Linked DNA regions of Callithrix jacchus. The protein of the gene in region 1 interacts with the protein of each later gene in a pairwise test. Links are inferred from orthologs where the notes say so. Each region holds a gene or a part of one and is shown in the gene's direction. Other genes may lie near its edges. The genes, in order: CCDC136, JMY, MOS, TXLNA, SHFL, ATP5PO and PSMD9.

Region 1 (3,995 bases):
TAAAAATGGGCAACCCACCATTCTTTATTATTTTACTTTCCTAATAAACTTGCTTTCACTTTATTCTATGGACTCGCCCTGAATTCTCGATTGCTCGAGATCCAGGAACCCTCTCTCTCTGTCGGGATCCGGACCCCTTTCTGGCAGCTGGGGGAACGCAGACAATCCTAGCCCTCGACCTGGGAATGGATGTGCAAGAGAGGGGATCCGCGTGTGTCCCCGGCTTAGGAATCTCCCAGACGTTTCCTGGATGTTCTGGGAAGCCCCTGTTCCCAACTGTACCCACTTTGATCCTTGCTGAGACCTGCCGGGGTGTGAGAACTGCCTCTTAGAGAGCCGGCACCCACCCAGCAGGCATTCCTTGAATAAAGCAATGGTTAAGACGCGAAATAAGCCGCCTGGGCTTCCAAATCTCACTTCCAGAGAATGACCATCAGTCGTGCCCACTTCGAGTGGGCGACAGTGGGGGCGTGGCTCGCAGCCCACCAGGTGTGGGACCGGAAGGGAAGGCAGAACGGAGGAGGGGGGGGTCTTCGGGCCCTGAGGCTTGGTGGGGCCATCGGAGGGCCCCTCCTAAGAGGGTCTCTGGCCCTGGCTGGGGGGAGGAGGGTGCGCGGAAAGCGGAGAGGTCAGGGCCCTGCGTTAGCCCATCTCTCCGGCCCCCAAGCTGCCAAGGGGCCCCCGGGCGGGGCTGGGAGGGACCTGAGGCCGGAGTCCGCGCCGGCTGCCAGGTGGGGGCGCCGGCCGGGTGGGGGAGGAAGGGGCGCACGTGTCCGCGCGTTTGGAGGAAACAGTCCCACCTTGCCCTTTGCCGTCCCCATTGCTGAGCATGACCGGGCCCTGACACCTGGTGCGGAAGGTCCCCGCGTACAGCAGACCCCGCGGGACCCGCCGCCAGAACCAGGAGATCTCACCCCTCCCTCTTGGGACAGCCTGAAGCCTGAGAGCTCCCGACGCTGTCCCGGCCCGGCGGCCCCCGGCGCTCCCTCGGGGAGAGCCTTGGGAGGTATCTGGGGTCGCGCTCACCCTCCCGCGCCGCCCCAGCACCCACTCGGAGCTCCTGGGTGCTGGGAGGGCTTCCGGGCGGCGGCGGGCAGCGGGGGGCGGTGTCAGGAGGCCCGGCCAGGCCCCGCCCCCTCGCCCGCCCTCCCTCCTCCCTGCGCACCCGGCTCCCGGTCCCCGGGCTCGCGGCTGCGGCTTCTGCTCTGGGAAGCTGCCGCGGCGGCGGGAGCGGTCATGGAGGCGGGCGCCGGAACCAGCGCGGGAGCCGCGGGCTGGAGCTGCCAGGGCCCAGGTCAGAGCCGCCCGTCCCTCACCTCTCCACCGCCCCTCCTTTCTTTCCTCCATCCCTCCTCCCTCCAGACCCCCAGGTGCTCCCGGACTCCGCGGCTCCCTCTTCTCCGCCCGAAGCCTTCCTCCCTCCATCCTGGCCTCCACCTGGGCCCGGTCTCCATCTTTCCGGCCTGGGGCTGGGGCTTCTGCGCACCGGCCGCATCCTGCCTGTAGGTCCCTCCCCAGCTCATCTCTCCACTCAAGCCCGACGGTGCTTCCAGTACTCGGGGCTCCAGACCCCGCACCCCCTGCAGCCCCGGAGGCTCCAGAGCGCTGGGCGAGGGTGGGGTGGGCGAGGTCCAGTAAGAGAATACGAGGGGAGGGGAGGGGAGGGGAGCGGCCGCAGCCCTATCCCTTCACGCACGCCCCCCACTCCTCCCTCCCTCCCTCCCTCTCTCCCTCTCTCCCTCTCTTTGTAGGCCGCCTCACCCTTTCAGCCTCTTTTCACTGGCTCCCGCCCTCTTTCAGTCTTTCCTCTCTCCTCCCTGTCCCCCGGGGCTAAATACACACACCCCCTCTTTCTGTCTGTGCAAGCAAGGGGGGCCTGGAACCAGGAGTGTCTGAGGCGGTTGGGCGGCAGGGCTGGGGTCCCCGCAGGCAGAGCGTGAGACGTAGCCGAGAGAGGGGAGACGTAGAGCCGGCAGAGTGAGTCAGGCACCTCCACTGGGATTCCAGATCCCAGGGCTCCGAGGGGCTGGAAGCCATGCCTCCCTCTTTCCTCTGCACCCCAGCCCTCAGCACCTCCTTTCGCCCTGCTCTCAGGACCCACAGTGACCACTCTAGGCTCCTATGAGGCTTCGGAGGGCTGTGAGAGGAAGAAGGGCCAACGCTGGGGGTCCCTGGAACGACGGGGGATGCAAGCTATGGAGGGTGAGTTTTCCCAAAAGGCTTCTTTCTTCCCCTTCCCCTCCTCCGTTAATCCCCTTCCCTCTCTTCCCTTTGACCCTCAGGCCTCTGAGCCAGGACACAGCCCTACCTTCAGTTCGTCTTAGCCCCTCCTCCTGCAACTCAGAGCTCCAGCCCTTCCCAGGGTTCAGACTTCGACAGAAGTTCAGAGTGCACCCCTTTGGGACCCCAATCACTCAGCTAACCAGGTTGTGTGTCCCGAGGGAGCTGCCAGACAGAGAGAGGCCTTGTTGGACAGAGCTTTGAAGCAGCTTTTCAGCAGGGGGTTTGTTCTCACTGCCTGCCGACCCAGATCCCAAGCTGTCTCTTCTTTCAAAAAGCAAGGAAGTGGGCATGTGAATTGTCTTTCTGGGGCCACCACCATTAACTTCGAATGGAAGCCTGTGGCTTTGGTTCTCTCGGATACCTTACTGCCTGAAAGAGAAAGCCTAGGAGGGGGCGAGTGAGGCCATCCTCCCAATACACGTGTGTCCCCACCACACCCATGTGACTTGGCAGTTGCTGCCAACACCAGGCCCCTGGAAGGACGCTGGTCCATTTTCCAGGACTTCCTGTGAAGTGTGGCACGTTGCACATTCAGTATAGGGAAACCTGCTCCCCCTAAGGGGGGCAGATGGCACGAGGGGTCCCACATGAACCTAAGGCTGCTGATATTAGAGAAAGTAAGACCAGAGATTCAGAATTTTAAAACAAAGCAAACAATCACCATTCAGACAACATTTTGCTATTTATAGGAACTGCATTGCAGTAAAGGAGGGGGTGCTCGCAACCAGAGGCTGGGGGCCAGCACCAAACCCCAGTTCTTTAATGCATTAGAATGGCAGCGTTTCTTTTATGCACAGGTACAGGCTAAGACTTCCCCTGAAAACTGCTTTGTGGTCAGCAGAGCAGGAGGGGCCTCCTCAGCTAGGGGAGAGGAGACCTGTGACAGCCAACAGGGAAAAACGAGGTGGACCTTCTAGAAAATTTGAAACAGGTATTTGATGATTTCAAAGGGCTCCAGAGTTTGTCCGATGAAACCTCTACAATCAGATATTTCCTTTCCCTACCTGCCGATGGGCAATGCTTTCTTATCATGGAAAGGCTGATTTTTCACAAGCCACCTGGATATTTTTTGGTTGGGTTTTTTTTGTTTGTTTGTTTTTTGAGACACAGTCTCACTCTGTTGCCCAGGCTGGAGTGCAGTGGCTTGATCTTGCCTCACTGCAACCTCCACCTCCACTTTCCAGGTTCAAGCAATTCTCCTGCCTCAGCCTCCCAAGTAACTGGCATTACAGGCACCCACCACCACGCCCAGCTAATTTTTTTTAGTAGAGACGTTTCACCATGTTGGCTAGGCTGGTTTGGAACTTCTGACCTCAAGTGATCCACCTGCCTCAGCCTCCCAAAGTGCTAGGATTACAGGCATGAGCCACAGCGCCCAGCCAGTTTTTTTGTTTTGTTTTGTTTTCTAGAAATCTCCAAACTGCAACTGTTACCTCATTTGACCTAAAGATCCGCTCACTGTCTCCTTTCTTGATTACTTGTTCCACTGCTCAGAGGGTAGCCTAGAAGCAGATAATCCTGTGCAAGTGTCTCATGGCTGAGCAGGCACCAGCCTGCCCACAGGCAGTGGTAGGAGGCTATCAAGTGAACATTGGTCCAGGAAAGGCCTGGGAGGTGGAGGGGCTGCCTCTCAACTTGACCCTCACACCTGATGACTCATCTTGAATACAGGTCTTGACTAGGGGCTCCTTGGGGAACACAAGGTGGCACCA
Region 2 (3,500 bases), on another chromosome or scaffold:
TTTCAGATTCCTGGCAAAAATTTTCCCACTCCAGGACCAAGAACTAACCAACCAAACAAACCACGGAAGACTATCTACCACTTTATGAGCCATGCCCAGGCATTTCTGAATCTCACTTTAAGTTCAGCCTAGGACGTTGATTACATTTACCTAGAGAGATACCTTATGGATTACAAGGATTTCCATCTAAAGCAATTCTCTTCTGCTGTTCCACTCACATACTCTCACCTCACTATCCAGTCAACGGATCCCAGAACCTAGCCAGGCTGTGAACATAGAACAAAGCAAAACACCAGATACTTGGCATTAACTAGCTTTTACCATTCTTGTAAATATCTGAGAATGACCCAGTCATTTTCATATATCTCATGTGAAAAAAGCAACTACATAACTTAGCATCCACTTTTGAGAGTGAAAGGGGACATTATTAGCATTTATAACCAGACGATCAATATTACCATAAATAAGTATGACATAAACATTAAAACCTTATTTTTACCATGTTTGCCTACTTCCACAACCACATATGTCTTATTACTGCTACATATATGTATTTTTAAAGTCTAGATTCCATGCCCACAAGTTTCTTTCTGAAATCAGTTATTTCGTGGGTTTATGCTGTCTGATTAATACTAATTTTTTTTTTTTTTTTTGAGACAGAGTCTCACTCTGTCACCCAGGCTGGAGTGCAATGGTGGCTCACTGCAACCTCCACCTCCTGGCTTCAAGTGATTCCCCTGCCTCAGCCTCCTGAGTAGCTAGCACTACAGGCACGTGCTACCATGCCCAGCTAATTTTTTGTATTTTTAGTAGAAATGAGGTTTCACTGTGTTAACCAGGTTGGTATCAATTGCCTGACTTCGTGATCTGCCCACCTCAGCCCCCTAAAGTGCTAGGATTACAGGCATGAGCCCCTGCACCCAGCCTTAGTATTAATTTTTAATTCTAACTTGATTTTTTTTCATGTCCCCACCAGCTAGAAATATTTTAATTTGTATTTTCAAATGCAGATGCAGAGTTTGCAGGGTGGTACAGAAGCCATAGCCCGATTGGATCAGTTAGAAGCTGACTATTATGACCTGCAACTTCAGTTGTATGAAGTACAGTTTGAAATCTTGAAGTGTGAAGAGTTACTATTGACAGCACAACTAGAAAGCATCAAAAGACTTATATCAGGTATGGTATGCATTTAACTGCATAAGTTTACAAAAGATTGAATATGTGAGAAAATGCATATGGACACCAGATATGTTTCTTCTGTTAAGATGTTAAAAAAAATTGTTTTTTATAGGGATAGAGTTGGTGGGGGTGATGTCTAGCATTTATTGAACACTTGCTGTGTGCCAGATACTGCTAAACACTGTGCATACATTCATTCTATGAGGTGTATTAAATAATAATCACCATTTATAAAGAAGCTTGAGAGGTGATGGCTTTGCCTAAGATTACAGAGCTAGTAACCACATTAGAACCCTGTTCTTTCTGAACCCACAGTCCATATTCTTAACCAGTACTCTTTTTTGCTGTTCTATAACAGAAAAAAGAGATGAAGTGGTGTACTATGACACTTACGAAAGCATGGAGGCCATGCTGGAGAAGGAAGAAATGGCAGCGTCTGCATACTTACAGAGAGAAGAGCTGCAGAAACTTCAGCAGAAAGCACGCCAGCTGGAAGCAAGACGTGGACGGGTTTCTGCCAAGAAATCCTACCTCAGAAATAAAAAGGTATTTAAATATTGCTTTTGTTCATTGCTTAGTCTTTTATCCATATCTACTAATTTCATCTGTTTTGTCCTTAAAACTTGCCTGTGTTTTAAAAAACTAAGTAAGTGCTATCTCTTGTCAATGCTCGATATGTTTATAGTGCTTTGAGAATTGCCCTCTTAAACACACTGGAACAGCCAATAGTGATGTTCTCTTTACCTCCAGAAATACAGTGACTCTGCTAAAGGGCACGACTACAGGATCCCTGATAATGCGATTCCTGGCTCCCTTTTTATTTAAGGAAGCCCAGTAATGTGTTACAAGTTTTGCTTCTGACCTTAGTCTTAAAGGAATTTTATAGATATTTATTTATTTAACTTTTATTACATTTCAAAATGTTTGATTCTTGATATTTGGAATGATTCATTTTGTGGAAATGTGATTCTTCCTATGTCTTAGAAAATGTTTTGCACTGTAGTCCAGATATTAACTATTGTGGAGCTGTTTTAGTCACTGTAAGTGTGGAGTTGAAATCTGAAACTAGCTCAACAACCTAGACCAAACTGATGACTGTGTGGTACTGATTTACTTTAAGCTGAAGTATTATGAAAGTATGTCATGTTCTCTGAGAACCCACCTTCCTGCTCTTCACCACATTCCAAGGCTATGACTGCCTCGTTTTACAGAAAATCAAAGACCTTTGCTTTTTGAAATAGATAGTTCTTGCACATTAAAGAAACTCAGGCAGACATGTCTCCGCAGTAAGTCAAGAACCCAGGACCTTCTGTCACTTTGTCCATCAACAGAACAGTTACCTTGGCATCCAGAGCCATGACTTTCAAATAATTATGTGCCTTTGCTATTTCCCCATGATGGTAGTAATTGAAACCCACTGCTGTTTCAGCCCTGGTATGAGCTTCATTTCGTGTTCCAGTCTGCATCAACCAAGTAAACATTCAGGCCAGGCGTGGTGGCTCATGCCTGTAATCCCAGCACTTTGGGAGGCCGAGGTAGCTCCATCATCTGAGATCAGGAGTTTGAGACCAGCCTGGCCAACATGGTGAAACCCTGTCTCTACTATAAATACAAAAAATTAGCTGGGCGTGGTGGCACACGCCTATAATCTCAGCTACACGGGAGGCTGAGGCAAGAGAATCATTTGAACCTAGGAGTGGAAGTTGTAGTAAGCTGAGATGGTTCCTTGAACTCCAGCCTGGGCAACAAGAGTGAAATTCTGTCTCAAAAAAAAAAAAAAAGCCATTGCAGTGATTTCAGCAGGTCATATAGAACAGTTTTAGGGGAGAATGAAAAGTAAACAAGATTTCAGAAGAGCACACTTTTTAGAAATGTTAGGAGTATTTTATCTATTACTTTTAGGTGTATAATGCAGGACTTTTGAGACTAGTTGGAATTTGCAAGCCTGCAGGTTTTTGAAAATGCTGTGCAATTCAGACTTAATTGAAAGTCTGATTTCTTTCTTTCTTTTTTTCTTTTTTTGAGATGGAGTCTTGCTCTGTAGCCCAGGCTGGACTACAGTGGTGCAGTCTTGGCTCACTGCAGCCTCTACCTCCCAGGTTCTGGTTCAAGCAGTTCTCCTACCTCATCCTCCCAAGTAGCTGGGATTATAGGCACGAGCCACCATGCCCAGCTAATTTTTGTATTTTTTAGTAGAGACAGGTTTCACCATGTTGGCCAGTCTGGTCTTGAACGCCTGGCCCTGTGATCCGCCTGCCTCAGCCTCCCAAAGTGCTGGGATTACAGGCGTGAACCACTGCACCCAGACGTCTGATTTCAGT
Region 3 (2,884 bases), on another chromosome or scaffold:
GAAAATTACTTTTTTTTCTTAGAGTCAGGGTCTTGCTCTGTCATCCAAGCTAGTGTGCAGTGGCACAATCATAGCTCACTTCAACCTCAAACTCCTCATGCCCCAGCCTTCAAAGCAGCCAGGGCTACAGGAGTGCACCACTACCCCCAGCTAACTTTATAATTGTTTGTAGAGGCAGATCTTGAATTCCTGGCCTCAGGTGGTCCCTCCACCCCAGCCTCCCAAAGCACTGGGGTTACAGGCATGACTCACTGTGCTTGGTAGAAAATTAATTTTCATTATGAAAATCAGAAAGGAAGAACTTATTGATGGCCAGAACCCTGAATTTCATTTCAACTTCCGGTTTTCTACATTATATGTAGGTACCAGTGATTTTATGCCACTTTTTTCTTTCAGATTTTTCCTCTTCTACAATTCTCCCATATGTGTTATTATTTGAAGCCCTGATCACAGTTCTGAATTATTTCTGTTCTTTTTTCTCCCCTAATGCTGCTTTAAAACTTCTGTAACTCATTTGCTAGAAAGTCTAGAATCTCTCTTGCAAATAAGCTGACCGGGTGGGCCAAATCGCCTTGGAAGGGAAGGATTGTTAGGAAGTCAGTATGTTGCTAAGACATCTTGCTAATTTGCTGTGTACGCCCATAGAGCGTCAGGGAAGTCTCCTTTCCACTGATGAATTCAGGTGTGTGTTACGACCTGTATCAGCGATTCTGTTTGGATTGATTAAGGCTGCAATTTTTTATCCACATGAATGTTGCACCTAGTTTTCCCCCGTAATTGGTTAAACAAATGTCTGCTGTTTGTATTTCAACTCTCAGCCAATAACTGCTGGAAGTGATTTAATGCAGCTGGAGAACAACACTGACAAACATTACGGCCTGCGAAGTGTGAAACAATTTCATTGTGCTTTGTGATCTCTTTGGTCTGAGGACTGATCATGTGCAGCGGATGAGACCTGAAAAAAACTTGTTTTATTACAGTTAAAGAAATAATGTAAAAGTGGGGTGAGTTCTGGGGCAGCTCTGTGCTGTTTATCTGGAGAGAGCTTGTTTTTACAAGAATTCACTTCAAGTGTGGAAGGGAAATGCTTTCATCTGAAAGGGATTGCTATGCTTCATTCTGGTTTCTCCCTCCATCTGATAAAAACCCTTGCTGAGTGACAGCACAGATGTAGCTCATTTGGAGCAAATGAAGGAAAAGGAGAAAAAGGCTAGGGGTGGAGCTTCCAAAGTCCCGCGGTTTTTTCTGGTCTTTTCATTCACCCCAGCGGCCCTGGTGTCCCCCTAGAAAGTGCGATGCCCTCGCCCCTGGCCCTACGCCCCTACCTCCCGAGCGAGTTTTCCTCGTCGGTGGACGCGCGGCCCTGCAGCAGCCCCTCCGAGCTCCCTGCGAAGCTGCTTCTGGGGGCGACTCCTCCTCGGGCCCCGCGGCTGCCCCGCCGGCTGGCCTGGTGCTCCATTGACTGGGAGCAGGTGTGCTTGCTGCAGAGGCTGGGAGCCGGAGGGTTTGGCTCGGTGTACAAGGCTACTTACCACGGTGTTCCTGTGGCCATAAAGCAAGTGAACAAGTGCAGCAAGAACCGACTAGCATCCCGGCGGAGTTTCTGGGCCGAGCTCAACGTGGCAAGACTGAGCCACGACAACATCGTGCGCGTGGTGGCTGCCAGCACGCGCACGCCCGCGGGCTCCGACAGTCTAGGGACCATCATCATGGAGTTCGGTGGCAACGTCACTTTACACCAAGTCATCTACGGCGCCGCCGGCCACCCTGAGGGAGACGCAGGGGAGCCCCACTTGCGCACTGGAGGAGAGTTAAGTTTGGGAAAGTGTCTCAAGTACTCCCTAGATGTCCTGAACGGGCTGCTCTTCCTCCACTCGCAAAGCATTGTGCACTTGGACCTGAAGCCCGCGAACATCTTGATCAGTGAGCAGGATGTCTGTAAAATTAGTGACTTCGGTTGCTCTGCGAAGCTGGAAGAGCTGCTGTGCTTCCAGACACCCCTCTACCCCCTAGGAGGCACATACACCCACCGCGCCCCGGAGCTCCTGAAAGGAGAGGGCGTGACCCCCAAAGCCGACATTTATTCTTTTGCCATAACTCTCTGGCAAATGACTACCAAGGAGGCGCCCTATTCAGGGGAGCGGCAGCACATACTGTACGCGGTGGTGGCCTACGACCTGCGCCCGTCCCTCTCCGCTGCGGTCTTTGCGGACTCGCTCCCGGGACAGCGCCTTGGGGACGTCATCCAGCGCTGCTGGAGACCCAGCGCTGCGCAGAGGCCAAGCGCGCGGCTGCTTTTGGTGGATCTTACTTCTTTGAAAGCTGAATTCGGCTGACTGAAAACCTGGGTCAAGATAAGCTTTTGTCTATTTGTTGTTGTTGTTGTTTTTTTAAAGGAAGTGGAGATATCGAAGAAAACATATTTGTAGGATACAGTTTTAGAGAATAAAGTTACTAAAAATTTTAGTCTCCAGTGCTTTTTCTGAGACACATAGTTCCAATTCTCGTACCTGTTGTCTCAGTACTGTTAGTAACTAACCTTATTAATTCATATCGTTATATTCTTTGCCTTTCATAGGTAGTATTGCATTTATTCAAATTTATTATTGATAAAACAGTTTGTCCAACACAGAACTCTACTGCAGAAATGTAAACATTTTCTATAAATCCACACATATTCCATGCCTACCACATAAATTCCAACTATTAACTATGTACTTGCTCCCACACCAAATCAGTAAAAGCTTTTTAAAAATAAGTAATGCTTTCCTATTACTCTCCCCAGTAAAACTTGTTTGTAATGACCTTCACACATAGAAGCCATAAACTGAGATATATTTACATTCAAAGGAATTATAAATGACCTAATGTAATATTTTTGTGC
Region 4 (4,185 bases), on another chromosome or scaffold:
CAGTGACCTTTGAACTGGGCCTCAAAAGATTTTAAGTTTGACAAAAGCCAAACCTCTTATGCTTCAAATTCCAGGCACAAAGATTGTTGGGTTTGATTTCATTATCCAGAGGCAACGGGGATACAGAATTTCTGATCTCACGTGTAGAGAATTGTGTTTTTTTTCTACTTTAAACCCAGTGAGACTTTAGTAGACAGTGGGGCAGTCAGAGAAAAGGCTCTAGAATATGCCTGAAGCCTTAACTCAGCACCTTCCTGAGGAATTGACTGCCAAATGGTAAAGGAGAGGGGAAAATATGACCTATGTTCACAAGTTACCTTGACTGCCTCTGGAAAACCTGCTGTGGTGGTGTTTCTTCTGGGTAAAAGACAAGGTAGGCCGGGAGTGGTGGCTCACGCCTATAAACCCAGCACTTTGGGAGGTCAAGGCGGGTGGATCACGAGGTCAAGAGATCGAGACCATCCTGGTCAACATGGTGAAACCCCGTCTCTACTAAAAATACAAAAATTAGCTGGGCATGGTGGGGCGCGCCTGTTGTCCCAGCTACTCGGGAGGCTGAGGCAGGAGAATTGCTTGAACCTAGAAGGCGGAGGTTGCGGTGAACCGAGATCGCGCCATTGCACTCCAGCCTGGGTAACAAGAGTGAAACTCCGTCTCAAAAAAAAAGAAAAAGGGAAGCCGAGAAGTTACCTGGGTGCTGGTGTCAGAGTTAACAATTCTGAATCCGTTTTAACCACTCACTATCGATGTAACCTTGGAGAAGTTACCCAGCCTTTCTCTTTACTGTCCTTTTCCGTAAAATGGCGCTAACAGTACTTACTTCAATGAGTGCTTATGAGAATGAAGCTATTAGATACCGGAAAGCACACAGTAAGCGCTCAAGGAAATTATTGTTATTAAACACCTCCTTGGGAAGAAGGACATTAAGGCCCAGGGAGCCACAGCAAATCCATGATGAAGCTGGGACTGGAGTAGGGGTCTCCTGGGCCTCATCCCAGGACTCTATCCCTCTTCCCGATTCGTCGGAATTCCTGGATGGAGTCACATTTGTTCAAGGCCAGGGAAGAAGGCTTGACGGAGGCCTGCAGGAAACAATGCTAGGCGCAAGGCTTTAGGAGCTGAGGCATAACTTCTGCGAGATAGAAACAAGGTTGACCTGGGCATTTGCGCGGAATGACGGGCTCTTTTTGGACTCCCAGAACTACTGCCCCGTCTGCACTTTGGGAGCTGCTGCCAGCCCCAGCGCACAGAGGGACGCGTAGTCCTTTCGCTGCCCCGCCCTCAGGTCCCGCCCGCCTCCAAGGCCGCCCTCGCTTCGTCCTTCCCAGCAAGCTCCGCGCCGGCGCCGGCTATTGATTGGCTGCGGCGGGTGCAGGCTGCTCGCCGGCAGTGGTTACTCGGGGTTTCCGGTGGAGGCCAGAGCTGGAGAAGCCGTCGGACGTCGGTTGTGAGGTGCGTGCCGCGGCGACCGGTGGGAGAGACAATCGGAGGGTGTACGGGCCGGGATGTTCTCGGCCTGTGGGGAAATCACGGCGACTCCGCGCGTGGGCCGGGGGGCTGTCTAGGGCGTGTGCGCATGCGCGGGCGTGCCTCGCGGCTGGAGGGCGCGCGGGGCGTGGGTGGCTGCGCGCGCGGGGGGCGCACGTGGGTCCTGAGGGGCGGGGGCGGCGCCGCGACTCCTGCGCCCCGCCACGTCAGTCTCCGGCCCCGAGCCAATCCCGCTCTCGGCCTGCCGTGAGGGGGTTGGTTGTGCTGGGAAGTGGCTCCGAGAAGAAAAAGAGGCCTCTTTCCTCTTCCGTTGCGCTGCGAAAGCCTGCTACGGCACACCGGGCTCCCCTGACCCGCCAAGACCGGAGAGCCGTTGGCGCCCTCCGCCGGGGCCGGCCGGTCCGTTTAAGAAGCTTTGGGCGCCTGCTGTGGGGATTTCTGATCCAGACTGCGAAGAATTTCGAAGTCTGAAAAATTGCAACTGTGTTTGTTTCTAAAGGATCTCCTTCTGACCCAGCATCGCTCATCACAATGAAGAACCAAGACAAAAAGAACGGGGCTGCCAAACAATCCAACCCAAAAAGCAGCCCGGGACAACCGGAAGCGGTACCCGAGGGAACCCAGGAGCGGCCCAGCCAGGCGGCTCCTGCGGCAGAAGCTGAAGGTCCCGGCAGCGGGCAGGCTCCTCGGAAGCCGGAGGGTGTGTGCCAGCTCTGCATTGCCAGCGGGCAGGGGGAGGAGCTGTGCGCCTGGCCTCACTTCTGGATTTAGAGGCCGAGGCCAGGTTGTGCAGAGGAGGAGATGTAGAATGAGAGGGCAGTGCTGGGGCCGCGGTCCTTCCGGCGCCCTGGCGAGTTGGTGAGCACAGGAACAGAGTTCTCTTCTCTGGAGAGAAGCTCTGACAGGATTAAGTCAGGTGGCAGCCAAACGAGGCACCCAGTCAGGAAATCCAGGTCCTGTTAGAAACACCTCAGCCACCAACAGCTAACTGCCCTTCCTGGATTGAGGCATTTCTAGAACAATCTGAATGGCAAGAAGTGGTTGGTGAGGGGGGAAGGAGATGGACTAGAAGTTGCTTCATGCCAGCCCTGTGTGCTGATGCTTTACATACTTTTATGTTTGTAACCAACATGTTCGGGTGATAGTAAGAAATAGTTGTGTCATTTTACAAGTAAATAGACTTAAAGAGGTTGAGCATCCATTACCTGAGTCTGGCAAGAAAAAAAAAAAAGTTGCCGGGCACAGTGGCTCACACCTGTAATCCTAACACTTTGGGAGGCTGAGACGGGCAGTTCACCTGAGGTCAGGAGCTCAAGACCAGCATGACCTATACGGTGAAACCTCATCTTAAAAAAAAAAAAAGTTAAGCAACGATGACTATAATTTCTTTTAAAAGATGTTTCGAGGCTGGACATGGTGGCTCACGCCTGTAATCCCAGCACTTTGGGAGGCCAAGGCAGGTGAATCACCTGAGGTCAGGAGTTTGAGACCAGCCTGACCTCCATGTTGGAGAAACCCTGTCTCTACTAAAAATACAACAATTAGCTAGGTGTGGTAGTGCATGCCTATAATCTCAGCTACTCGGGAGACTGAGTCAGGAGAATCGCTTGAACCTGGGAGGCAGAGGTTGCAGTGAACTGAGATTGCATCATTGCACTCCAGCCTGGGTGACAGAGTGAGACTCCATCTGGAAAAAAAAAAAAAAAGTTTTGAATCTAAATTCTGACAGGAACTAGATTTGCTGTCTTCTTTCTCATTCTTTCCTGCTTTAGGGGCACAAGCCAAAACAGCTCAATCTGGGGCCCTCCGTGATGTCTCTGAGGAGCTGAGCCGCCAATTGGAAGACATACTGAGCACATACTGTGTGGACAATAACCAGGGGGGCCCAGGCGAGGATGGGGCACAGGGTGAGCCGGAAGATGCAGAGAAGTCCCGGACCTATGTGGCAAGGAATGGGGAGCCTGAGCCATCTCCAGTAGTCAATGGAGAAAAGGTACCCTCCAAGGGGGAGCCAGGCACAGAAGAGATCCGGCCGAGTGATGATGTGGGAGACCGAGACCACCGAAGGCCACAGGAGAAGAAAAAAGCCAAGGGTTTGGGTGAGCAGAGAGTGGCTCTTTGTGCAGCTGGTGAGGGGAGGGAATTTGGACTTGATGTTCTCTGGGCAAGTCTGTTCTGCCAGGATTCAGAGGAAATGGTACTTCTCAGAGCAGCAAGTCACCCTAGTCTAATCAAAGCCAGGGATGTGGGAGTCACACATAGAAAGATGCAGGGGTTTCCAGCACAAGGTCTTCTGGCTTTTGGAGCAACGGGAGGTTGATGTGTGACCTGCTCTTTGAGACAATGGAGAGCAGGAGGTCCGGGTAGCCTCCTGTGCCAGCCAGTACTACCTGCCTTGTGACCTTGGGTGTGCCCCTTCTCCTCTCTGGGTCCTAGTTTCTACTTCTGTTTACAGTAAGAAAATCAGACTAGCCCAGAGTTGGAAACCCAAATGTCTACATAAGCTGGGCTGCCTATGGGGCTCCATGAAGATAGAGCCTACTTTAGCCAAAGGCTTTATTGCTATTTAGTTAGTTGCTCTTAACTAGGCAGCAGCCAGCCTTTTTTTTTTTTTTTTTTTTTTTTTTTAAGAAAAGCCAGAAATCTAGATCTCTAGATTTTTTCATAGTTAGCAGCTAAAATGGTAGGAGCCAAACA
Region 5 (4,166 bases), on another chromosome or scaffold:
CTCATCCCCACCTGCCCCATTCCTGCCCCATTCCACAGGCAGTGGCGACCTCCCTCCTGCCGCTGACAGAAGCCAACCTACGCATGTTTCAACGGGCCCAGGACGACCTTATCCCCGCTGTGGACCGGCAGTTCGCCTGCTCCTCCTGCGACCACGTCTGGTGGCGCCGCGTGCCCCAGCGGAAGGAGGTGATGACCCACAACTTAACCTTGACTTTGACTGTCCTGAACTCCACTCCCAACTCCCATCCTCAGTGACTGTACCTCTGACCTAATGGGCTTCAATCACTGAGAGCCCAATCTCTGACCTCCAAACTCAGAGCGCAGCCCTGATCTCTGATCCCAACCCCTGGCCCAGGACTGGACTTCTGACCTTCAACGTGAGAAGCCCAATAACCCCTTACCCCAAAGCCTGACCCCTGACCCCACAGTTGAACAGCTACTACAGAAATCAACCTTGACCAGGTGCAGTGGCTCGTGGCTGCAATCTCAGTGCTTTAGGAGGCTAAGCAGGGAGGACTGCTTGAACCCAGGAGTTGGAGACCAGCCTGGGTGATAGAGCAAGACCTTGTCTCCAAAGAAAAATTTTTTGGGCCAGGTGCCGTGGCTCACACCTGTAATCCCAGCACTTTGGGAGGCCAAGGTGGGTGGATCATGAGGTCGGGAGTTCAAGACCCGCCTGTTCAAGATGGTGAAACCCTGTCTCTACTAAAACATACAAAAAGTAACCAAGCCTGGTGGTGGGCACCTGTAATCCCAGATACTCAGAAGGCTGAGGCAGAAGAAGAGCTTAAACCTGGGAGGCGAAGGTTGCAGTGAGCCGAGATTGCACCACTACACTCCAGCCTGGGTGACAGGGCGAGAAAAGAAAAAAAAAAATTTTAAGAGATGGAGTCTCACTCTGTCACCCAGGCTGGAGTACAGCAGTGTGATCATAGCTCACTGCAGCCTCCACCTCCTGGGCTCAGGTGATCCTCCCACCTCAGCCTCCCAAGTAGCTGGGACTGCAGGCCTGCACCATCATACTTGGCTAATTTTTATATTTGTATGTGTGTGTGTGGAGATGGGGTTTTGCCATGTTGCCCAAGTGGTCTCAAACTCCTGGGCTCAAGCAGTCTACTGCCTCAGTCTCCCAAAGTGCTAAGATTACAGGCATGAGCCACTGCACCTGGCAAAAAAAATTTTTAATTAGCTGGGAGTGGTGGTGTGTGCCTGTGGTCCCAACTCCTCAGGAGGCTGAGGTGTGAGGCTTGTTTGAGCCTGGGAGGTTGAGACTGCAGTGAGCCATGATCAGAACACTGCATTCCAGCCTGGGTGACAGAGCAAGACTCTGTCTCTTAAAAAAAAAAAAGGAAAAAGAAAAAAAGAAAGAAACCAAATTTGACCTCAAAAACACGGCCCCGAATCTGGCCTCTGAACCTCCTGACCAGTAGTTTGCTTCTGTTCAATGCTTAAGTCTTGCAAAAGAGGCAGAAAGCCGAGATGTGTAGTGTTTGCCAATTTCCATGGTGTAAATATTCCCACCATGGTCAATATCAAGCTATGGATATAAAGTCGCTGATTGAGTTGCCTTGGTCAAGCTCAGGCCAGCCGATGCAGCACAGTTACCCCTGACCCTCTAACAACCCTTGGTCCCCTCTCCACACCCGCCTCCCCACCACCACCAGGTATCCCGGTGCCGGAAATGCCGGAAGCGCTACGAGCCAGTGCCAGCCGACAAGATGTGGGGCCTGGCTGAGTTCCACTGCCCGAAGTGTCGGCACAACTTCCGGTGAGGGCGCTGACCCCCAGCTCCCCTTCAGCCCTACCCCACCCCAGCCCTGCCCCTCCCTGCCCTGGCCCCACCCTGGCCCAGCCTCGCCCTCGGACCCTCACAGCCCTGCCCGCCCCCAGGGGCTGGGCACAGATGGGGTCCCCGTCTCCCTGCTACGGGTGCGGCTTCCCCGTGTATCCAACACGGATCCTCCCCCCGCGCTGGGACCGGGACACGGATCGCCGCAGCACCCACACTCACTCCTGCTCAGCTGCTGACTGCTACAACCGTCGAGGTGAGGCTCTTCTCCCCTAACAGCCTGGGCAGTCTTCATCCCCTTCTGTCCCTTTAAGTCCCCAAATCTCCATTCAGTCCACTTCATCTCCCACGGCAGCAGCCACTGCTTCTAGGTGGCCCCCCAGTCTCCGTGCTCTTGCCCACGAGGCTCTGAGGGTCCATACCTGAGGGTCCCTATGGCCTCTGCCCCCATGGTCTCTGGGTTTGGGGCCCCTGTTTTGTCCCCTGTAGTCTCAGGTGACTCCCCATGTCCCTGGGTCTCCTGTATCTTCAACACCTCTGAATGTCTGGTCACTCTGTTCCCCGTATCTTGTGGCCTCAGCTCCTCCCTATAGCCCCGAATGGCCTCAGCCCCCTCCTCCTCAGACTCTCCCAGGACCTCAAACCCCATGCCAGCAACACCTTTCCCTCCCTAGAGCCCCACGTGCCTGGGACGTCCTGTGCTCACCCCAAGAGCCGGAAGCAGAACCACCTGCCCAAAGTGCTCCACCCCAGCAACCCTCACATCAGCAGTGGCTCCACTGTGGCCACCTGCTTGAGCCAGGGGGGCCTCCTGGAAGACCTGGACAACCTCATCCTGGAGGACCTGAAAGAGGAGGAGGAGGAGGAGGAGGAGGAGGTGGAGGAAGAGGAGGGCAGGCCCAGGGAGTGACCCCTGCCAGGTGCAGACACAAACCAGACACGGTCTGTGGCTACTTTGTGTTATTATAAGATACGAGCTCAAACCGAGATATGAATGACCTTGGGGAGCCATCTGGGGCCGAGATATTGGCAGGGGGGGATTCCTGGGTCCCATTTGCAGCACCCAGGGTCACAGATCCACGGAGGGGAAGTTCCGTGGGACCCATTGGCACTGAGCCACAAAGAAAGTGTGGCCAGGACAACTTGGGCTCCTGCTGACCAATGTCCCCTGGGGCCTAGGGGACAGAGGAACAGAGTCACAGCCTCAGGGGCCGGATGAGCATGGTGGCCTTCCTGAGAGAGTATGCCCCGCCATGAAACTCAGCCCAGTAGACACCATCCTGGTAGCGGCTTCGGTAGTGGCCACCACGGTGCCACACACCATTGAGGTTGGAGTGGGCGCAGGCATGGTACCACCAGCCTCCCCGCTGGTACAGGGCACAGTTACCTAGGGGAGAGAGAGAGAGAGTCCATGTCCCCTTATCAGAATAAAAGCCTCTATCTGCACCTCACAGTGTAAGGCTTTTGCCAGGCATCCCCTGGCCCCTCCTATTCTTATTCAATACAAGCCCTGATCTTCCATCTCCTCAGCAAAATAGGAGCCCTGGCTCCCCGATTTTCTTCAGAGTAATAGCCTTAATTCCTTCCCTATCTCCTTACCAAAGTACAAGTCACATCTTTCCCACCTTCTCTGCAAACTAGGAGTCTACTGCTTATTCCTTTATCAAATAAAAGAAAGTAATTATCTACTTCCTTTCTAGAATAAGAGTACTAGCCTTCACCCTCTGCCCTTCACCCAAACAGGAGTCTTGATTCCTTTTTTTTTTTTTTGCCTCATCAGAGAAGGAATGTAGGCTCCCTGTCCCCTCACCAGAATAAAAGTACTGTCCCTTGTTCTCTTGACAGAATAAAAGCTTGCTTATCTTAATACTTAAAGAGGGGCGTCTTACCTATCCCATCTCCTTTTATTCCCACACCAAAACAGGAGTCCCGTCTCCCCTATCCTCCCACCAGAATAAGAGTTCTCCTTACCAGAATAGGAGTCTCGATCCCTATCCATGGTGCTGAAGGGCTTGTCGTGATGCCAAGAAAGAGAATCTCCAGCATCACCATGGTATTGGCCAAGCCGCAGGCGGTAGTGGTCACTCTCGGGTTCCAGGGAGAAGCCATCATAGTGGGCACGTGCTCTACGGCCTCCCCAGTCCTCCAGGAGCACCAGCAGCTCATGGTCTTCACGGCTGGTCAGCTGATACACAGGTTCAAGGCCCAGCCAGTATTCTCCATCTGGCTGACCAAAGCCCACCTGGAAGGGCAGGAAAGTCAGGAGGCCAGAAGAGGCTCCCTCCCCTGCCCTGCCTCTGCCCGCCTGTGCCCACCTTGTAGTGCTGCCAGGTAGTGAAGAAGTTGACCGAACCATCCTGCCTCCGCTGGATCAC
Region 6 (3,500 bases), on another chromosome or scaffold:
ATCCTGAAGGAACCCAAAGTGGCTGCTTCTGTTTTGAATCCCTATGTGAAGCATTCCATTAAAGTGAAAAGCCTAAGTGACATCATAGCAAAAGAGAGGTTCTCTCCCCTCACGACGAACCTGATCAGTGAGTATGAGAACTTTTTCATTTGAGGTGTCTTCAAACTGTGATTGGAAATGTGGTCCATGGCCCGTGGGCATCAGCATCACTTGGGAGCCTGTTGGCAGTGAGGCATCTCAGGCCTCACAGCAACCTGCTGAATCGGAGTCTGCATCTTAACCAGCTCCCTACGTGAATTGTTTGCACATTTAAGTGTGAGGGGCACTGTCTAAAGGATACTAGGACCTAAGTGTGTCTAACTGAATAGTCAGTGGTTTCAGCCATGGAGGTGGCCAATGTAATACCTACCAAGAAAGCCACAGGTTTGTGGCCTGTGGCTGTACCTTGATCCTTAGAGACATTTGCATTCTCAGATACGTTTGGACTGCTTTTCGTTTTCTTTTTCCTTTTTTTCTTTTTCATTTTTAAGACATAGTCTTTGTCACTCAGGCTGGAGTGCAGTGGCACAATCTCAGCTCAGTGTAGCCTCAGTCTCCCAGGCTCAAGCCATCCTCCCACCTCAGCCTCCCTAGTAGCTGGGAATATAGCACACACCACCACGTCCAGCTAATTTTTTTTATTTTTTGTAGCGATGAGGTTTCTCCATGTCACCCAGCCTGGTCTTGAACTCCTGGGCTCAAGTCATCTGCCTGCCTTGGCTTCCCAAAGTGCTGGGATTACAGGCGTGAGCCGCTCCGCGGCTGGGGTCGCTTCTCAGATCCTCATAGCCAGCTCAAAAGTTCCAAAGAAAGTATATTCATGTTATCATCTTTGAATTCGTAGCCAACATTATAAGCTATAACCTAAAATGAAAATCAGATTGCAAGCTGAGTATAAGAAGTCTGTTGCAGATTCGTATGGGTGAGAACTCCCCATACTTACTAATTTGAATCCTTGTCAGTATGGTCTATTAAAAAAATAAAATTGGATATGCATTTTAAATAACAAGTTGTATCTTCTCCATTCATTCTTTTTTTTTTTTTAACTTTAGACTGGATGTCCCTCTCTTGTCACCCAGGCTAGAGTGCAGTGGGACAGTCTCGCCTCACTGCAACCTCTGCCTGCTGGGCTTAAGTGCTCCTTCTGCCTCAGCCTCCTGAGTAGCTGGGACTATAGGCATGCACCACCACGCCCACCTAATATTTGTGGGTCTTTTTGTAGAGACAGGGTTTCACCGTGTTACCCAGGCTGGTCTAAAACTCCTGGACTCAAGAAATCTGCCCACCTCAGGCTCCCAAAGTGCTGGGATTACAGGCATGAGCCACTACACTCAGCCTCTATTCACATTCTTAAAGGACATTGAATATACTGTGACTTTTAAGAGACAAGATCTTACTCTGTCACCCAGGCTGTGGTGCAGTGGCACAATTATAGCCCACTGCAGCCTTCAACTGCTGGGCTCAAGCAATCTTCCTGCCTCAGCTTCCTGAGTAGCTGGGGCTATAGATACGTACCACCAAGCCCTAATGTTTTTTATAGAGACAGGGTCTCACTATGTTGGCTGGTCTTGAACTCATGGCCTCAAGCAATCCTCACACCTCAGCCTCCAGTAGTTGGGATTATAGGCATGCGCCACTCAATATGGTGTTTTAAAGCCAGAAATCTAAGTTTGTGTTTTGGGTTAAGTATACAGCTTCATGAATAACTTGTTCAAGTGAGTTTCATGTTACTGAAACACCTTCACTTCACCAGATTTGCTTGCTGAAAATGGTCGCTTAAGCAATACCCAAGGAGTTGTTTCTGCCTTTTCTACCATGATGAGTGTCCACCGCGGAGAGGTTCCCTGCACAGTGACCACCGCATCTGTAAGTAACGGGTTGTTGCTGCTGTCTTGGCCTTGATGTTACATATGTCGCCTTTTGCAGAAAAGGGAAAAAACAAGGTAAAATCAAGAAATTGGAAAAAGTAACTTGTCAGCTGGGATGTTTCCTTCATTTTTATATCAGCTTCTGTGACCCTTTGCTTTGGAAACATCAGCATACATCTTATTAGTGCTTCTGTAACCGGTGATTATTCATAAGGCCTGGGTGAAATGGAAAGAACATCAAAATGTGTGAGAAAAGGGTGGTTTAGAACTACCACTTGAAGTAGTTTACTGAAAGTGCAATGGCACAATCTTGGCTCACTGAAACCTCTGCCTCCTGGGTTCAGGTAGTTCTCCTGCCTCAGCCTACCGAGTAGCTGGGATTGCAGGTGCCCACCTCCAAACCCGGCTAATTTTTTTTTTTTTGAGACAGAGTCTCACTCTGTCACCCAGGCTGGAGTGCAATGGCGTGATCTCAGCTCACTGCAGCCTCTGCCTCCCAGGTTAAATCAAGTCTCCTGCCTCAGTCTCCTGAAAAACTGGAATTACAGATGCGTGCCACCATACCCAGCTAATTTTCTCTCTTTCTTTCTTTCTTTCTTCTTTTTCTTTCTTTCTTTTTTTTTTTCTTTCTTTCTTTCTTTTCTGTCTTGCTCTGTCACAGTCTGGAGTGCAGTGCTGTGATCTCGGCTCACTGCGCCTTCCGCCTCCTGGGTACAAGCAATTCTTCTGCCTTAGCCTCCCAAATAGCTGAGATTATAGGCACGCGCCACCACACCCAGCTAATTTTTGTATTTTAGTAGAGATGGGGTTTCACCATGTTGGCCAGGATGGTCTCAATCTCCTGACCTCGTGATCTCGGCCTCCCAAAGTGCTGGGATTACAGGTGTGAGCCAACACACCCAGCCAATTTTTATATTTTCAGTAGAGACGGTTTCATCATGTTGGCCTGGCTGGTTTCAAACTCCTGACCTCAGGCGATCTGCCTGCCTTCGCCTTCCAAAGTGCTGGGATTATAGGCGTGAGCCACTGCACCCAGCCTGAGTTTATTTTTTTGAGACAGAGTCTCACTTTGTCACACCTCACTGCAGCCTCAACCTCCTGGGCTCAGGTAATCCTCCTGCCTCAGTCTCCTGAGTAGCTGGGATTACAGGTACACCCCCACCACACCCAGCTAATTGTTTTCTATTTTTGTAGAGGTGGGGTTTTACCGTGTTCGTCAGGCTTGTCTCAAACTTCTGGGCTCAAGTGATCCACCTGTCTTGGCCACCTAAAGTGCTGGAAGTAGAGGTGTAACCCAGCCTGAAACTAGAGTTACTAATCTTTCCTCTTTTGTGGTGGCAAATGGGAAGGAGTAGAGCAGATGGGCCTTTGTATCTTTTTGACTTGATAGAGTGGGGTATAATGGGCTACCATTTATTGAACGCTACTCTCTGCCGAGTTCTTCATTATTTTATACACTATCAAAAGATTCATGTGAGATAGAAGTGTAATTATCCTGATTTTACAAATGAGGAAACCGAACGCAGGAAAATGAAGTCACTTACCCAAGGTCATTACGAGGTGGGACCAGAATTTGAACACAGGCCTCTTAGA
Region 7 (3,500 bases), on another chromosome or scaffold:
TGGTGCCATCCTGGCTCACTGCAGCCTCCACCTCCTGGGTTCAAGCGATTGTCCTGCCTCAGCTTCCTGAGTAGCTGGGACTACAGGTGTACGCCACCATGCCCAGCTAATTTTTGTATTTCTAGTAGAGATGGGGTTTCACCATGTTGGCTAGGATGGTCTCGATCTCTTGACTTTATGATCCACCTGCCTCAGCCTCCCAAAGTGCTGGGATTACAGGCATGAGCCACTGCGCCTGGTCGAAAAGTGAAATCTTGATTACACCCACCCCAAGTCATTCATTCACATGACTACAAAGCCAGATCCACGTATGCCTTTGAACTCATGGCTATGGATTCAGCCAGACGTTACCTTCCTTATGCTTACCTCTCAGGGCTCACCGAGACAGCACTGCCTTCAGGAAGCCCTCCCTCATCTCCTAGACTAGCGAAGTCAGACTCTGCTTCTGGCCAGGCCTCCCTGCAGTCATCAGATGTTATTGTAATTACTTATTCTGGAGCTGCTCTTTGCAGGACTGAATGCTCCATGAGGGAAGGTCCTCTTTCTTGATCAGGGATTCATCCTCGCCTCTAGCCCTAGATCTGGTGTTGAATAAGAACTTGTTAATTCTTCAGTGAGTCTTGTGTCCTCCGCCGTCTTCCTTGGCCCCTGACGTGTCATTCTTTTCCCAGGCCTGCAGAATGATCATAAGGCGGTGATGAAGCAGGTGGAAGAGGCTCTGCACCAGCTGCATGCTCGCGACAAGGAGAAGCAGGCCCGGGACATGGCTGAGGCCCATAAAGAGGCCATGAACCGCAAACTGGGCCAGAGTGAGAGCCAGGGTCCTCCTCAGGCCTTCGCCAAAGTGAACAGCATCAGCCCCGGCTCCCCAGCCAGCATTGCGGTAATCCAGGGCTTGGCCACTCAAGTCCATGCCCAGAGGACACTGTGGGTCAGGTAGCCTTTGGGGGTATGGAAACTCTGTAAGACAGACCAGCTCCTTCTGTGCTGTGGTGCTGAGTTCAATTACTCATTTAACAAACTGTCCAGCTGGGTGCAGTGGCTCATGCTTGTAATCCCAGCACTTTGGTATGCAGAGGTGGGTGTATCACAAGGTCAGGAGGTCAAGACCAGCCTGACTAATATGGTGAAACCCCATCTCTACTAAAAATACAAAAAAAAGTAGCCAGGCATGGTGGTACGTGCCTGTAATCCCAGATACTCAGGAGGCTGAGGCACGAGAATCGCTTAAACCTGGGAGGCAGAGGTTGCAGTGAGCATGTACTCTAGTCCAGCCTGGGTGACAGAATTTTAGAGAGGGATCAGCCCCGGCTGCCAACTGCATTGGTGGGGGAGTGACCTGTTCCCAGTGACAGATGATAAATGTCCCAAGAGAGGGAAGGAGGATTTTTTCTTGGGGTTCATTTTAGCTGGGCACTGAATGATAAAAATGAAAATGAAATCCTGCCAAATGCGTTATGCATCTTACCTGGTGTGTTTAAAAAAAAATTAGGCTGGGCACAGTGGCTCATGCCTGGAATCCCAGCACTTGAGAAGGCTGAGGCAGGTGGATTGCTTGAGTTTAGGAGTTTGAGACTGGCCTGAGCAACATAGTAAGACCTAACTCTAAAAAAAAATTTAGCTGGGAGTGGTGGCATACACCTGTGGTCTCAGCTACTTGGAAAGCTGAGATGGGAGAATCACTTGGGATTTGGAAGTTGAGGTTGCAGTGAGCTGTGACTGCACCACTGCATTCCAGCCTGGGTGACTGAGACCTTGTCTTAAAAAAACTTTTTTTTAGGCCGAGGTGGGTGGATCACGAGGTCAAGAGATCGAGACCATCCTGGTCAACATGGTGAAACCCTGTCTCTACTAAAAATACAAAAAATTAGCTGGGCATGGTGGTGTGTGCCTGTAATCCCAGCTACTCAGGAGGCTGAGGCAGGGGAATTGCCTGAGCCCAGGAGGCGGAGGTTGCGGTGAGCCGAGGTGCCATTGCACTCCAGCCTGGGTAACAAGAGTGAAACTCCATCTCAAAAAAAACAAAAACAAAAACAAACAAAAAAACTTTTTTTTGACTGGGCGTGGTGGCTCATGCCTGTAATCCCAACACTTTGGGAGGCCAAAGCGGGTGGATTGCTTGAGGTCAGGAGTTTGAGACCAACCTGGCCAACATGGCAAAATCCCGTCTCTACTAAAAGTATGGAAATTAGCCGGGCATGGTGGTGGGTACCTGTAATCCCAGCTACTCAAGAGGCTGAGGCAGGAGACTCGCTGAATCCTGAAGGTGGAGGTTGCTGTGAGCTGAGATGCCACTGTACTCTGGCCTAGGCAACAGAGTGAGGCTGTCTCAAAAAAAAATTAACAGCTTTATTGAGATATAATTAGCATACCATAAAATTTGCCCATTTAAAGTATGTATATAGCCTAATGTCTTTTAGCATATTCACAGAGCTGTGCATCCTCACTACAATCAATTTTATTTCTATTTAAAAACTTTTCAGCCAGGCACAGTGGCTTATGCCTGTAATCCCAGCACTTTGGGAGGCCTAGGTAGGAGGATCACCTGATGTCAGGAGTTCGAGACCAGCCTGGTCAACAAGGCAAAACCCTGTCTATACTAAAAAAATAAACATTAGTTGGGCATAGTGGCGCGTGCCTGTAATCCCAGCTACTCAGGAGGCTGAGGCAGGAGAATCACTTGAACCCAGGAGGTGGAGGTTGCAGTGAGCCAAGATCTCTCAAAAAAAAAAAAAAAGAGAGAGAGAGAGATGGGATTTTTCTATGTTGCATATGTTGGTCTCGACCTCCTGGACTCAAGTGATTCTCCCACGTTGGCCTCCCAAAGTGCTGAGATTATAGGCATGAGCCACCATGGCCAGTCATAATCAATTTCAGAATATTGTCATTGTCCTCTGCAGTGATTTGCCATCACCTCCCAATCTCCCAACTCCCCCACTCCCAGTTATCTACTTTCTGTCTCTATGGACACATAACTGACTTGTGTCAGTTCCTGACGGGTAGAATGGGGTCCTAAATCCGGGTCCTGCCAGTCTTCTTTAGTGATCACAAGTCTGTAAGTTACATAGAAGCTCTGTTTCTTTCACCACCCCATCTACAGCATCTAGCACAGTGCTGGTTGGCCCACAACAAATACTTGTTAAAGAGGTGAATGAGTGATGGTCTGTGTTCTTAGGACCTAGAGCAAGAGCGTCACTCTAGTCCTGGGTCCGCCTTGTGCCTGTGGCTGCTTGTGTGGGGGCTTCTAGGGCAAATGTCCTGTCTACATTTTTTTTTTTTTTTTTGAGACAAAGTCTCACTCTGTTGCCCAGGCTGAAGTGCAGTGGCGTGATCTAGGCTCACTGCACCCTCCTCCTTCTGGGTTCAAGCGATTCTCCTGCCTCAGCCTCCCAAGTAGCTGGGACTACAGGCATGAGCCACCATGCTTGGCTAACTTTTATATTTTTAGTAGAGATGGGGTTTCACTATGTTGGCCAGGCTGGTCTTGAACTCCTGACCTT

Evidence for each region.
Region 2: the proteins of CCDC136 (region 1) and JMY interact in binary tests that used the Homo sapiens proteins (3 or more experiments, as listed by UniProt). The two-hybrid records come from large-scale screens. The link is inferred for Callithrix jacchus from reciprocal best matches to the Homo sapiens genes CCDC136 and JMY.
Region 3: the proteins of CCDC136 (region 1) and MOS interact in binary tests that used the Homo sapiens proteins (3 or more experiments, as listed by UniProt). The two-hybrid records come from large-scale screens. The link is inferred for Callithrix jacchus from reciprocal best matches to the Homo sapiens genes CCDC136 and MOS.
Region 4: the proteins of CCDC136 (region 1) and TXLNA interact in binary tests that used the Homo sapiens proteins (3 or more experiments, as listed by UniProt). The two-hybrid records come from large-scale screens. The link is inferred for Callithrix jacchus from reciprocal best matches to the Homo sapiens genes CCDC136 and TXLNA.
Region 5: the proteins of CCDC136 (region 1) and SHFL interact in binary tests that used the Homo sapiens proteins (3 or more experiments, as listed by UniProt). The two-hybrid records come from large-scale screens. The link is inferred for Callithrix jacchus from reciprocal best matches to the Homo sapiens genes CCDC136 and SHFL.
Region 6: the proteins of CCDC136 (region 1) and ATP5PO interact in binary tests that used the Homo sapiens proteins (3 or more experiments, as listed by UniProt). The two-hybrid records come from large-scale screens. The link is inferred for Callithrix jacchus from reciprocal best matches to the Homo sapiens genes CCDC136 and ATP5PO.
Region 7: the proteins of CCDC136 (region 1) and PSMD9 interact in binary tests that used the Homo sapiens proteins (3 or more experiments, as listed by UniProt). The two-hybrid records come from large-scale screens. The link is inferred for Callithrix jacchus from reciprocal best matches to the Homo sapiens genes CCDC136 and PSMD9.

The regions. Positions count from the first base shown.
Region 1 is NC_133512.1:118,390,240-118,394,234, reverse strand, and holds the start of CCDC136 (coiled-coil domain-containing protein 136), read left to right. Parts: upstream 1-1,195; 5' UTR 1,196-1,236; coding exon 1,237-1,294; exon of another isoform or gene 1,295-1,437; coding exon of another isoform or gene 1,438-1,523; exon of another isoform or gene 1,524-1,646; intron 1,647-2,094; coding exon 2,095-2,202; intron 2,203-2,308; exon of another isoform or gene 2,309-2,454; intron 2,455-3,995. UniProt on the Homo sapiens protein: May play a role in acrosome formation in spermatogenesis and in fertilization.
Region 2 is NC_133503.1:131,680,389-131,683,888, reverse strand, and holds part of JMY (junction-mediating and -regulatory protein), read left to right. Parts: intron 1-1,010; coding exon 1,011-1,176; intron 1,177-1,537; coding exon 1,538-1,725; intron 1,726-3,500. UniProt on the Homo sapiens protein: Acts both as a nuclear p53/TP53-cofactor and a cytoplasmic regulator of actin dynamics depending on conditions. In nucleus, acts as a cofactor that increases p53/TP53 response via its interaction with p300/EP300.
Region 3 is NC_133517.1:12,478,820-12,481,703, reverse strand, and holds MOS (proto-oncogene serine/threonine-protein kinase mos), read left to right. Parts: upstream 1-1,287; 5' UTR 1,288-1,295; coding exon 1,296-2,336; 3' UTR 2,337-2,384; downstream 2,385-2,884.
Region 4 is NC_133508.1:68,785,030-68,789,214, forward strand, and holds the start of TXLNA (alpha-taxilin), read left to right. Parts: upstream 1-1,385; 5' UTR 1,386-1,452; intron 1,453-1,987; 5' UTR 1,988-2,019; coding exon 2,020-2,188; intron 2,189-3,260; coding exon 3,261-3,587; intron 3,588-4,185. UniProt on the Homo sapiens protein: May be involved in intracellular vesicle traffic and potentially in calcium-dependent exocytosis in neuroendocrine cells.
Region 5 is NC_133523.1:9,283,112-9,287,277, forward strand, and holds the end of SHFL (shiftless antiviral inhibitor of ribosomal frameshifting protein), read left to right. Parts: intron 1-38; coding exon 39-188; intron 189-1,666; coding exon 1,667-1,770; intron 1,771-1,892; coding exon 1,893-2,047; intron 2,048-2,465; coding exon 2,466-2,701; 3' UTR 2,702-2,987; coding exon of another isoform or gene 2,988-3,178; 3' UTR 3,179-3,666; downstream 3,667-4,166. Other genes in the region: ANGPTL6 (angiopoietin-related protein 6), read right to left, coding at 2,988-3,178, 3,763-4,033, 4,107-4,166.
Region 6 is NC_133522.1:39,981,383-39,984,882, reverse strand, and holds part of ATP5PO (ATP synthase peripheral stalk subunit OSCP, mitochondrial), read left to right. Parts: coding exon 1-127; intron 128-1,792; coding exon 1,793-1,905; intron 1,906-3,500. UniProt on the Homo sapiens protein: Subunit OSCP, of the mitochondrial membrane ATP synthase complex (F(1)F(0) ATP synthase or Complex V) that produces ATP from ADP in the presence of a proton gradient across the membrane which is generated by electron transport complexes of the respiratory chain.
Region 7 is NC_133510.1:125,101,993-125,105,492, forward strand, and holds part of PSMD9 (26S proteasome non-ATPase regulatory subunit 9), read left to right. Parts: intron 1-671; coding exon 672-883; intron 884-3,500. UniProt on the Homo sapiens protein: Acts as a chaperone during the assembly of the 26S proteasome, specifically of the base subcomplex of the PA700/19S regulatory complex (RC).